Linked DNA regions of Canis lupus familiaris. The protein of the gene in region 1 interacts with the protein of each later gene in a biochemical or structural test. Links are inferred from orthologs where the notes say so. Each region holds a gene or a part of one and is shown in the gene's direction. Other genes may lie near its edges.

Evidence for each region. The genes of interacting proteins can lie anywhere in the genome.
Region 2: of the proteins of H2AX (region 1) and PPM1D, one has a biochemical effect on the other in vitro, tested with the Homo sapiens proteins (3 studies listed by BioGRID and IntAct). The link is inferred for Canis lupus familiaris from reciprocal best matches to the Homo sapiens genes H2AX and PPM1D.

The regions. Positions count from the first base shown.
Region 1 is NC_049226.1:14,789,545-14,794,545, forward strand, and holds H2AX (histone H2AX), read left to right. Parts: upstream 1-2,254; 5' UTR 2,255-2,357; coding exon 2,358-2,789; 3' UTR 2,790-2,946; downstream 2,947-5,001. Other genes in the region: DPAGT1 (UDP-N-acetylglucosamine--dolichyl-phosphate N-acetylglucosaminephosphotransferase), read left to right, coding at 15-203, 517-604, 765-920, 1,003-1,068; HMBS (porphobilinogen deaminase), read right to left, coding at 4,142-4,315, 4,406-4,492, 4,637-4,690, 4,911-5,001. UniProt on the Homo sapiens protein: Variant histone H2A which replaces conventional H2A in a subset of nucleosomes. Nucleosomes wrap and compact DNA into chromatin, limiting DNA accessibility to the cellular machineries which require DNA as a template.
Region 2 is NC_049230.1:35,859,928-35,865,826, reverse strand, and holds part of PPM1D (protein phosphatase 1D), read left to right. Parts: intron 1-3,133; coding exon 3,134-3,362; intron 3,363-5,899. UniProt on the Homo sapiens protein: Involved in the negative regulation of p53 expression. Required for the relief of p53-dependent checkpoint mediated cell cycle arrest.

The DNA.
Region 1 (5,001 bases):
TCTCCCCCACACAGGTACCCATCACGGGTGTTTGTGGGAGATACCTTCTGTTACTTTGCTGGCATGACCTTTGCCGTGGTGGGCATCTTGGGACACTTCAGCAAGACCATGCTACTCTTCTTCATGCCCCAGGTGTTCAACTTCCTCTACTCACTGCCTCAGCTCCTGCATATCATACCCTGCCCTCGCCACCGCATTCCCAGGTAGCCACTTTGGGGCTTAAAAGGGACATCTTAGCTTTTTCACTTGGGATGCATAAAGCCAGCCTTCTGCATCTGCTGTGTAAGGGGAATGGGCCCAAAGGAGGGCTCTTTCCGTGCAATTAGCCCTTATAAATGACAGAGCACATTCACCCACATAATCTGATCAGCTCTGATCACACAGTGGTAAGCAGAGCCGGAAACAGATCTTCAGGTTGTCTGATTCCACTTTCGGTACTCTTCCTATTAATTGACCGCAGTGTGGAGAGTTCTTGGAGTAGTGGCCCAGTCACATAAAGCTCTCTTCCCCCTGCAGACTCAATACCAAGACAGGCAAACTGGAGATGAGCTATTCCAAGTTCAAGACCAAGAGCCTCTCTTTCTTGGGCAACTTTATTCTAAAGGTAACAGGGTAACAAGGAGGTAAGGCTCTAGGCCACCATCCGGAATTCAGGGCCTGGGGACCCTCGGCTTGCATCAGATCCAAGGGGAGCCTGGAAGCATGAAGCAGATCCCCCATTGCTGAAGCAGAGTTGAAGTTCTCTCCACCTCTGGCCCCTCCAGGTAGCAGCGAGCCTGCAGCTAGTGACAGTGCACCAGAGTGAGAATGAGGATGGTGCCTTCACGGAGTGTAACAACATGACGCTCCTCAACTTGCTCCTTAAGGTTCTCGGGCCCATGCATGAGAGAAACCTGACTCTGCTCCTGCTGCTGCTCCAGGTGTGGTCAGGGAAGGGCTTTGCTGGCTCTGGTCTCCCTTTCTCCATGGCTCTGACTCTGGTGTGTTTCTTTCTCCTCACAGATCCTTGGCAGTGCTGTCACCTTCTCCATCCGGTACCAGCTTGTCCGGCTCTTCTACGATGTCTGAGTCCCCCAATCCTTGCCCTTCACTGCATAGTCTGCAGGGTTCCTGACTCAGGCCTGCCTCTTTCTGGGCCAGGCAAGCTTCCGGGCCCAGGCCTCTCTCACCTCTTACTTTTCTCCAGATTTTGTACTTAGCGATTCCGTTCCGCTGTGATCGACATCCTGGGCCTGTCTTGCCCTGTACTGACTGTTGATTGGACTTTGCCTGTGGCTTTCTTCAACTTGCTGCTCTCCCTCTCTATCCCATCCCTGCGGCCTCCCAAAGTGGGATACTGTGCTTTTTATGCAGTTATCCACCACTCGGACTCTCGAGGAATATGTTGGGCCTGGGGATAGAACCCTGGCTGGGGAGAGGGACACAGGCTCGAAGATCACTTGATTATTTGACCATAAATTAAGTATTCTGATTCGTAAGAGCAGATTGGGGGGCCAGGTGCTCCCAGTGGTGACAATAAAGTGTTGTCTTTTTCTTGGTGTTCCTGTAAGTATATTTTGGGCATTTTAGGGTAGATCGGGAGGATTGGTGGAGGTACCTCCTCCAAGAGGATGCCTATCCCTCTGCCCATCTTTTTTCTTTCAGCACAGTGGGCTCCTTGTAACAAGAAGTCAACAGAAAGAACAGACCAAATAGAACATGTTGAATAAGCCCTGAAATCCTCATACTTCAGGTGGCAGGGAGAGCCCTAAGATTGGACTTGCCTGTTCTCTGGTGCCGAACAGAAGTTTTTAGGGGGAGCAGCGGGAGGGGTTCCCATTTCTTCCCTCTCTCATTTCCCTCTGCAGGATGGGAGGAGGGAGAAAGGAGAGAAGAATGACCAGACCAGGAAGGGAAGGGAGTGGTGTCGACCCCGTTCCTTTAAAAATCCCGGGCCCGCACCGGTTTCCCAGAGGCCCTCGAGGTGGCCCAGACTCCACCCTCTTTGCCTTCCGGTTCTGGGCTCCAGCTGTAGCGTTTAAATCTGGCGCCCTTCGCAAGGATTGGCTACATCGGGGAGGGGTTGGCCGGCTGCGTGCTACCACTCCTCCTCGCCTTTTTCCCCGGGCAAAAGGTTTTCAAATCGGACCAATCGGCGGGCGCGCTGCCTCGGCCGTGGCGCGTCACTGAAGGGTTAACTGCAACCAACCGGAGGCGGGTACCCGAGGAGAGAGCCAATCAGGAGGGCGCGGAGGTGTGCCCTGGGGGCTTATAAGGCCGGCCCCTGGGCGCGCGCGGCAGCAGTTGGACTGCGGCGGGCGGCTGTTCGTTGCCCCCTTCGAGGCGTCCCTCTTCACAGCTCTTCTACCTCGCGCAGCATGTCGGGCCGCGGCAAGACCGGCGGCAAGGCCCGCGCCAAGGCCAAGTCGCGCTCGTCGCGCGCCGGCCTCCAGTTCCCCGTGGGCCGCGTGCACCGGCTGCTGCGGAAGGGCCACTACGCCGAGCGGGTGGGCGCCGGCGCGCCGGTGTACCTGGCGGCCGTGCTCGAGTACCTGACGGCCGAGATCCTGGAGCTGGCGGGCAACGCGGCCCGCGACAACAAGAAGACGCGCATCATCCCCCGCCACCTGCAGCTGGCCATCCGCAACGACGAGGAGCTCAACAAGCTGCTGGGCGGCGTGACGATCGCGCAGGGAGGCGTCCTGCCCAACATCCAGGCCGTGCTGCTGCCCAAGAAGACCAGCGCCACCGTGGGGCCGAAGGCGCCTGCGGGCGGCAAGAAGGCCACGCAGGCCTCTCAGGAGTACTGAGGGGCGCCCGCGCCGCAGCCGGCCCCCATGCCACCACAAAGGCCCTTTTAAGGGCCACCACCGCCCTCACGGAAAGAGCTGAGCCACGTCGGGCTCGGGGCGGGCGGCCGCGGCGCTCGGCTCCCCCCCGCCGCGTCGTCACCGCCGCCGCCGCCGCCCGGCCCGCCCCTCCCCCGCGCGGGCTCGCCTGCCCTCGCTCCCGCCGCCTCCCGGCCGGAGGGCCGCCCGCTCGCCCGGCGCAGGGGCCCGGAGGGGGCCGGGGGCGCGCCGCTGCCCGCCGCGGCGCCAGTGACTCAGCCGCCCGGGCCGCGCTGAGGGCCGCGGGGAGGGCCGCGGGGAGGCCGCGGCGCCGCCTGGAAGAGCCGCTCGGCGCGCTGACGCAGGGCTGAGGTACGCGCCGGGGCCGGGCCGGGCCGGGACTCTCCGGACGCCGCGGTGCGGGGACGACCCGTCACTGTCCGCCCTGCCGCCCCCTCGGCTCGGGCCGAACGCGTCCGCGGGGACCTGCCACCAGGGGGGGAGGGGCGGTGCGCCCCGCGGGCCCCGGGACTGCAGGAGGCGCGCGCCCGCGAACCCCGCCGCCCGGCCCGCTCTCTCCGGCGACCGCTCCGCGGGCCTCGCACCTCCGTACCAGCACCGGCCCGACCGTCCCCATCTGCACTGAGCCTCCGACAGCTTCGGAACTGGAATTTTGCAGCTATCCCCATCCAAGACTAGGACCCTACAGATTGAGGAGTTTCAGATGGACTAATTTTGTTTATTAAAGGATTGTTTTTTTAAAAACGCGGTGTCTGTTGTCATTCTGTACGAGCTGTAACACCCACGACTCTGTAGGCGGGAGGTGTACTGAGGGAGTGGGGGTCAGGGGGACTCGGACCGATGGCCCGCCTGTGGGGCATACACACGGGCTAGCTGGGCAGGGACAAGTCCTAGGCTTCTCCCCCACTTAACTGGGAGGCCATTTGTTGTTGGAAATGAGAACGGCTGTGGCAGGAACAAAGAATGTTCCAGGAGAACTTTGCACAGAGGTCCCAGCCTCGGAAGTAGAGAGCACAAGGTTTTGTGTCCTCTTTCCTGCAACCCCACCAAAAACAAAGTCACCTTCAGAGCTGGTTTATTAGTTGAGTTGGTTACATTCAAAGGCCGTGGCTTGAACTTTCTCTAAAGAGATGAAACCTCCGCCTACTGCGGCAGCAAGGCACTCTTCACAGCCTCAAGGTGAGGCAAGTCTCTGACCTTGCAGTTCAACTCCCTGGGGTGATCACCTCAGTCAGCAGTGAGGATGGGGCACTGAGGGCTGGGAGGTAGGCACTGGACAATAGCCACCCAGACACCGGTGCCCCACAGAGCAGTTAGTGGGCATCATTAAGCTGCCGTGCAACATCCAGTATGTTCTTGGCTCCTTTGTTCAGCAGCAAACTGGCCAGGCTGATGCCCAGGTTCTCAGCAGCCAGCTGGGCTTCTCGTGGAATGTTCCGGGCAGTTATCCCCACCAGCTGCGGATCATCCTCGGGGCCATCTTCATGCTAGGTGAGGGAAGGAGGTGGGACTGGGTGAGCACCAAAGAGGTAACATGCGGGTTTGTTCCTCATTCCCTCACCCTCCAGCTTTGGCACCTGGGCTGTGATGTGGATGGTGGCCTGCATGGTCTCTTGCATGCTATCTGAGCCGTCTAGACTCCAGACTCCTCCAGTCAGGTACAGCTGGCAAAGAAAACAGTTACCTTGGCATATTCTGAAAGAGCTGCTTAGATGAAAACCCAGGCTCTTGTGGGCAAGGCGAGATGCACAGGGACACATGTCACCGTGCTCCCTTGCCTACCCTCCCACCCATCTTCCCCTGCTTACTTGCCCATCCTTCATAGCTGTATGCACTGCCACTGGCACACTGCAGCCTCCCTCCTGCAATGAGAAGTTCTCCCTGTGACCCACAGACTCTTAACACCCTCTGTCCCTCAGACACAGGGACCTCTGAAGATACAACACACAGAGGCAGGGGCCCAGACCTGAGTGGGTCCTGTCCATACACTCAAGAATGAGTTACTACTGAATAAAGAGCATTAATATGAGAAATCTCCCAACTCAAGTCCCCACCCCTCCACAGGTGAAACATGGCCGGTACCAGGTGCCTAAGGAAGGCTCGCTCAGCAATGCAGCGAAGCAGAGTCTCCGGATCATGCAACACGCCCACCAGGTCCAGCATGTCCTGGTCC
Region 2 (5,899 bases), on another chromosome or scaffold:
TCCAATGCCAGGCTCCATCCCAAGACCCTGGGATCATGACCTGAACTGAAGGCAGATGCTTAACTGAGCCACCCAGGTGCCCCTGAAAGTCCGTCTTTTCTCCACTGTTCATATATCAGGTGTTTGAGGATGCATGGGTCTGTTTCTGTGCTGACTATTCTGTTCTTTTGGTCCACTAGTTTATAACTTTTCCATAAAGGTCTTGTTAGAAATTTGTTAGCATTGTTCCTAGATACCATATACCTTTTGTTGCTGTTGTGAATGGTATCTTATTTAAGTCACATTTTGTAATTTTTTTTTTTGTTGTTGTTGGTGGTGATTTACAGAAATAGCATGGATTTTTTTTTATATATAACAATGTTTATATTCAGTAACTTTACTGGACCTTATCAATGCCAGTAGTCTATAGATTCTTTTGATTCTTCCACAGATATTTTCTTGGGGGCGGTTTTCTCTTTGTGTACTGCTCTTGATGCCTCTTAGGCTGTTTGTTCTTCATAAATAATGGTTATAACAACAAAAATTAACATTTATCGAGCACTTACTGGGTGTCTGGTACTGTTGCAGATGGTTTTACATGTGTATGTGTATGAATTTCTGACTTCATCAATATTGGTAGCCATTCTGGTTTCCCTCAGCAATTGTGAGGGTCATTATTTCATATACTGCAACTAGCCCTCTGCTGCGAGTAACGGGATTCTGTAGTGTAGATTCTATCTGTAGAATGAGATGAGGAGATGCTTTGTAGGATTCAAGAAATGTCTTTTCAGCATATGTAATAACGTAAAGAAAAGAACTCTAATTAGAATAAATATACTAGAGAAGCCTTGTGGCTATGAAAGTTGTGTGGCACCACATCAGGTTTCTTAGGTCCTATTTCTTCCACCTCATCGCTGTTGAGACCCTGTGGTTTCTATCAACAGATGCATCACTTTGCTTAAAAGAGAAGTATTATAGGTACTGTTAGCATAGGAACTAAAATGTTTCACCTTTTACTGTGTGGAGAGTTTAGGCGCTGACCTAGCTTTTGCAGTTTTAAAATAAATCTGCCAAGCTTATATCATTGATTGCTACCTCAGCCTTTGCCCAATCTCTGAGTTTGAGCTTTTCAGGACTCTGTTACCAGGGAAAACTGATGTATTGCCTTCTTTATGACTGTGCTTTTCACTTATTGGATTATAGATTTTACATTCTGATTTTTCCCTTAATATAATTGTAATTATATTAATTCTTTAAGATTCAAGGGATTCCTCAGATTTGCTTTGACCCTCCTCTGTGTTTCATGACTGCTGTGAACTTTTCTAATATTTATATTCTGTCCTTTCAGTGGGATTTGGTGAGGAGACTATGTCAGTGTTTGGATTCAGTTGGCTGTCTTGAACTATAAATTGTAGTTTGTTTAATATTCCAGAATATTTCAGATTTTTTAAATGACAAATGAATGTAATTAGTCAATATAAGGTTTTAGGATTAAATATATTATATTGGGTCTCTGCCATTTAATATTTGAGTTATCTTAAACAACTTTCTTAACTATTAAAACGATTGATTCCTCATCTGTGAAATGAAAATAATGGGAATAATTTACCTATCTTAGTGGTTTGTTGTAAATATTATTTGAGATAATATATGTAAAGCTCTTAGCACAGAACCTGGTACACAGTAAGTGCTCATAAAAATGTTATTTATTAGATTTTGAATATCCAAAGTAACTATTTCGACAATAAGTAGCTTTTTCTGAGAATCCTTTCTTTTTTTTTTTTTTTTAAGATTTTTATTTATTTATGATAGTCACACAGAGAGAGAGAGAGAGAGAGAGAGAGGCAGAGACATAGGCAGAGGGAGAAGCAGGCTCCATGCACCGGGAGCCCGACGTGGGATTCGATCCCGGGTCTCCAGGATCGCACCCTGGGCCAAAGGCAGGCGCTAAACCGCTGCGCCACCCAGGGATCCCTCTGAGAATCCTTTCAAAGAGAGATTAATAAATGGATGCTAAAATTAACAAGGCAGGAAACAACAAATGTTGGAGAGGATGCGGAGAAAAGGGAACCCTCTTACACTGTTGGTGGGAATGTGAACTGGTGCAGCCACTCTGGAAAACTGTGTGGAGGTTCCTCAAACAGTTAAAAATATACCTGCCCTACGACCCAGCAATTGCACTGCTGGGGATTTACCCCAAAGATACAGATGCAATGAAACGCCGGGACACCTGCACCCCGATGTTTATAGCAGCAATGGCCACGATAGCCAAACTGTGGAAGGAGCCTCGGTGTCCAACGAAAGATGAATGGATAAAGAAGATGTGGTTTATGTATACAATGGAATATTACTCAGCTATTAGAAATGACAAATACCCACCATTTGCTTCAACATGGATGGAACTGGAGGGTATTATGCTGAGTGAAGTAAGTCAGTCGGTGAAGGACAAACATTATATGTTCTCATTCATTTGGGGAATATAATAGTGAAGGGGAATATAAGGGAAGGGAGAGGAGATGTGTGGGAGATATCAGAAAGGGAGACAGAACGTAAAGACTGCTAACTCTGGGAAACGAACTGGGGGTGGTGGAAGGGGAGAAGGGCGGGGGGTGGGAGTGAATGGGTGACGGGCACTGGGAGTTATTCTGTATGTTAGTAAATTGAACACCAATAAAAATAAATTAAAAAAAAAGTTAACAGGGTGAAAGACCTATACACTGAAAACTACAAAATATTGTTGAAAGAAATTTTAAAAGACACAAATAAATGGAAAGATATCCTGTGGGGGGGGGGGAATAAATGGATGCTAAGCTACTGGCTATACAGGTATCAAAACTCTGAACACATCGTCGCCCACTAAATGTAGGTTAGGACTAAGACATGTGGAACTAGTAAATCTGTCCTGTAATATTTTTCTCCTAGGATTTGTTTGATGGTTGTAATATAATTACATTATTTATAAAGTTAATTTATTAATATGTTGATGAAGGAATTAACACAAGTTCTTTTCAAATAGCTTTCAAAATGTTTTTAAATTTTATCCTATGCTAATTCAAGTTTTAACATGCTAATTGTGGACATGTTGCCATTTTTATTCTGATACAATATTAATGTTTATATCTGGAAGAGTAAAATATTTTATTTCTTATTACAGCAGAATGGCCAAAGACAATGACAGGTCTTCCCAGCACGTCAGGGACAACTGCCAGTGTGGTCATCATACGGGGCATGAAGATGTATGTAGCTCACGTAGGTGACTCAGGGGTGGTTCTTGGAATTCAGGATGACCCGAAGGATGATTTTGTCAGAGCTGTGGAGGTGACACAGGACCATAAACCAGAACTTCCCAAGGAAAGAGAACGAATCGAAGGACTTGGTGGGAGGTAATCATTGTGCTGTTTTGTCTTTCCTATCTTGGTTCTATTTAGTTCTTTTCTGCTTTACTAACCAGATTGACCAGTTACTCCTTTTTGATTAATTTCTCAGTATTATAAGTTTTTAATTTGCCTGATGAAGTACCCATCTGCATTCATATTTATCTTGTTAGTTTGAGTTGACTGTTTTCTGATAATAGATCCAGAGGGAAATAATATTTTCATGGGAGTCAAATAAAACACACAAAGATTTATTGATCACCTTTTACATAAATACTGATCATCATGACATTCGGAATCTGGACAGAGTAGCTGTTAGTGTTCCAGAGTAGAACAATTTGAATCTGGCTTTGGGAATAGAATTTTGTTACAATTAATCTTAAGCAGGACGCCTGGATGGCTCAGCGGTTGAGCGTCTGCCTTTGGTCAGGTCCTGATCCCAGGAACCGAGAGATCGAGTCCCACATCAGGGCTCCTTGCAGGGAGCCTGCTTCTCCCTCTGCCTATGTCTCTGCCTCTTTCTCTCTCTATCTCTCTCTCTGTCTCTCATGAATAAATAAATAAAAATCTTTAATAATAAAAAAATTAATCTTAAGGTTTTTTTTCTTTGATTTCTAAGTTAGATATGCTGCAAACCTTTCTTACTATTTTCTTTCTTTTTTTTTTTTGAAAGATTTTATTTATTTATTCATGAAAGACACACAGAGAGAGGCAGAGACATAAGCAGAGGGAGAAGCAGACTCCTTAGGGGGAGCCTGCCGTAGGGCTTTATCCCAGGACTCTGGGAGTATGCCCTTGAGCCACAGGCTCATGCTCAACCACTGAACCACCCAGGCATCCCTCTTACTGTTTTCTTTTGTCTGTTTCAACTTATTGTCTTAATGTGTAATTTGTAAGCTATAAACTAAAAGTGGCTTCAGTATATTTTATGATGCAAACTAAAATGTAAGATTATTGTAAAAATCAGAGGAATGAGTAACATGAGAACATTTTATTTATTTATTTATTATTTATTTATTTATCATGAGAAAATTCAGAAATTATCCCAATACTAAGTTTTAGAAGTTGAAGGAATGAGGCAAGTTAAATAGAATCCAGTATTTTCTAAATAGTTCTTCTAACTAAAGCCTTACCATGATATTATTGCTTGCCTCATTTTTCTTCTATTAAATCAAAATAGACTTTTTCAGAGTATTAGTAAACTAACTGGGGTAAAGAATTTGCATCCTTAACACTGCCACCCCCAGATAGTGAATAAAGAGAGGACTTTGAACAATAATAAAAATGCAAAAGAGTAAAAAAAAAAAAAAAAAAAAAAAGCAAAAGAATAGCAAACATTTGAAAAAAAATTATTGATTTTTTTAAAAGATTTTGTTTATTTATTCATGAGAGATTGAGGCAGAGACATAGGCAGAGGGAGAGGCATGCTTCCTAAAGGGAGCCCATTGCGGGACTCCATCCCAGGACCCCAGGATCATGACCTGAGCCTCACAAGCAGACGCTCAACCAGTAAGCCACCCAGTGCCCCGCAAAAAAAAATTATTAAAATGAAACTGTTTCCTGCTGTTGGGTTAGCAAAATTTTTAAAAAAGAGAAATACTTCTCAATATTTTTGTTGAAATGGGAATCCTGTTGGTAGGATTATAAATTAGTGTGAACAATATAGAATATAATTTATACCCACTAGCTTCAAATGTTTACAGACTCAGTAATTTCAGGAATGTACTCTAAAGAAATATGAAATGTGGACCAGAATATCGGAACAGTGATTATAGCAATGTTTAATGACTGTTAAAGGCTGGAAATACTTGAAGGCCCAACAACTCAAGAATGCTTAAGTATATAATAATATACAAGGAACCTGATGCGGGACTCAATCCTGGACCCTGGATAATGCTCTGAGCCGAAGGCAGGCGCTCAACTGCTGAGCCACCCAGGCGTCCCTGTAGTTTTTTTTTTAATGGTAGCATTCATTTGATTAAAATTTAGGTAGCCTAAAATGATATACTTCAGAAAGTCTCTCAGCTGCTGCTGTTCCACAGGCTTCACAGTTCCCCTCTCCCTCAAAACCCAATATTGTTGTGTAACCTTTCATAGAGAGAGACTCATAATACACAATCAGATATGAAGCTGTACCATATATAGATGTACCATCATTTATTTAACTAGTCTCCTATTGAAGAATGTTTCTGCTTTTTAAGTTTATTTTTTATTTACTATTACAGACATTATTGTAAAATGAAAAATCACGTACAAGCATCTTTTTGTACATACAAGTATATTTGTAAGATCATTTCCTAGAAGGACTTGCTGGGCCAAAGAGGAGTATGTTTTGAATATTGACAACTATTAGTCTCTATGAGGTTGTACCAGTTTACACTTCTGTCAGTATATAGATGCCCTTGACAATATCCTTCTGGAACCTTTTGATCATACTGACTTTTAGGTTAATGGGGGGAAACTTGGTGATGTTTTGATTTTAATTTGTCTTATGAGAAAGGTTGACTATCTTTTATTTGTTTAACAACTATTTATATTTCCTTTTC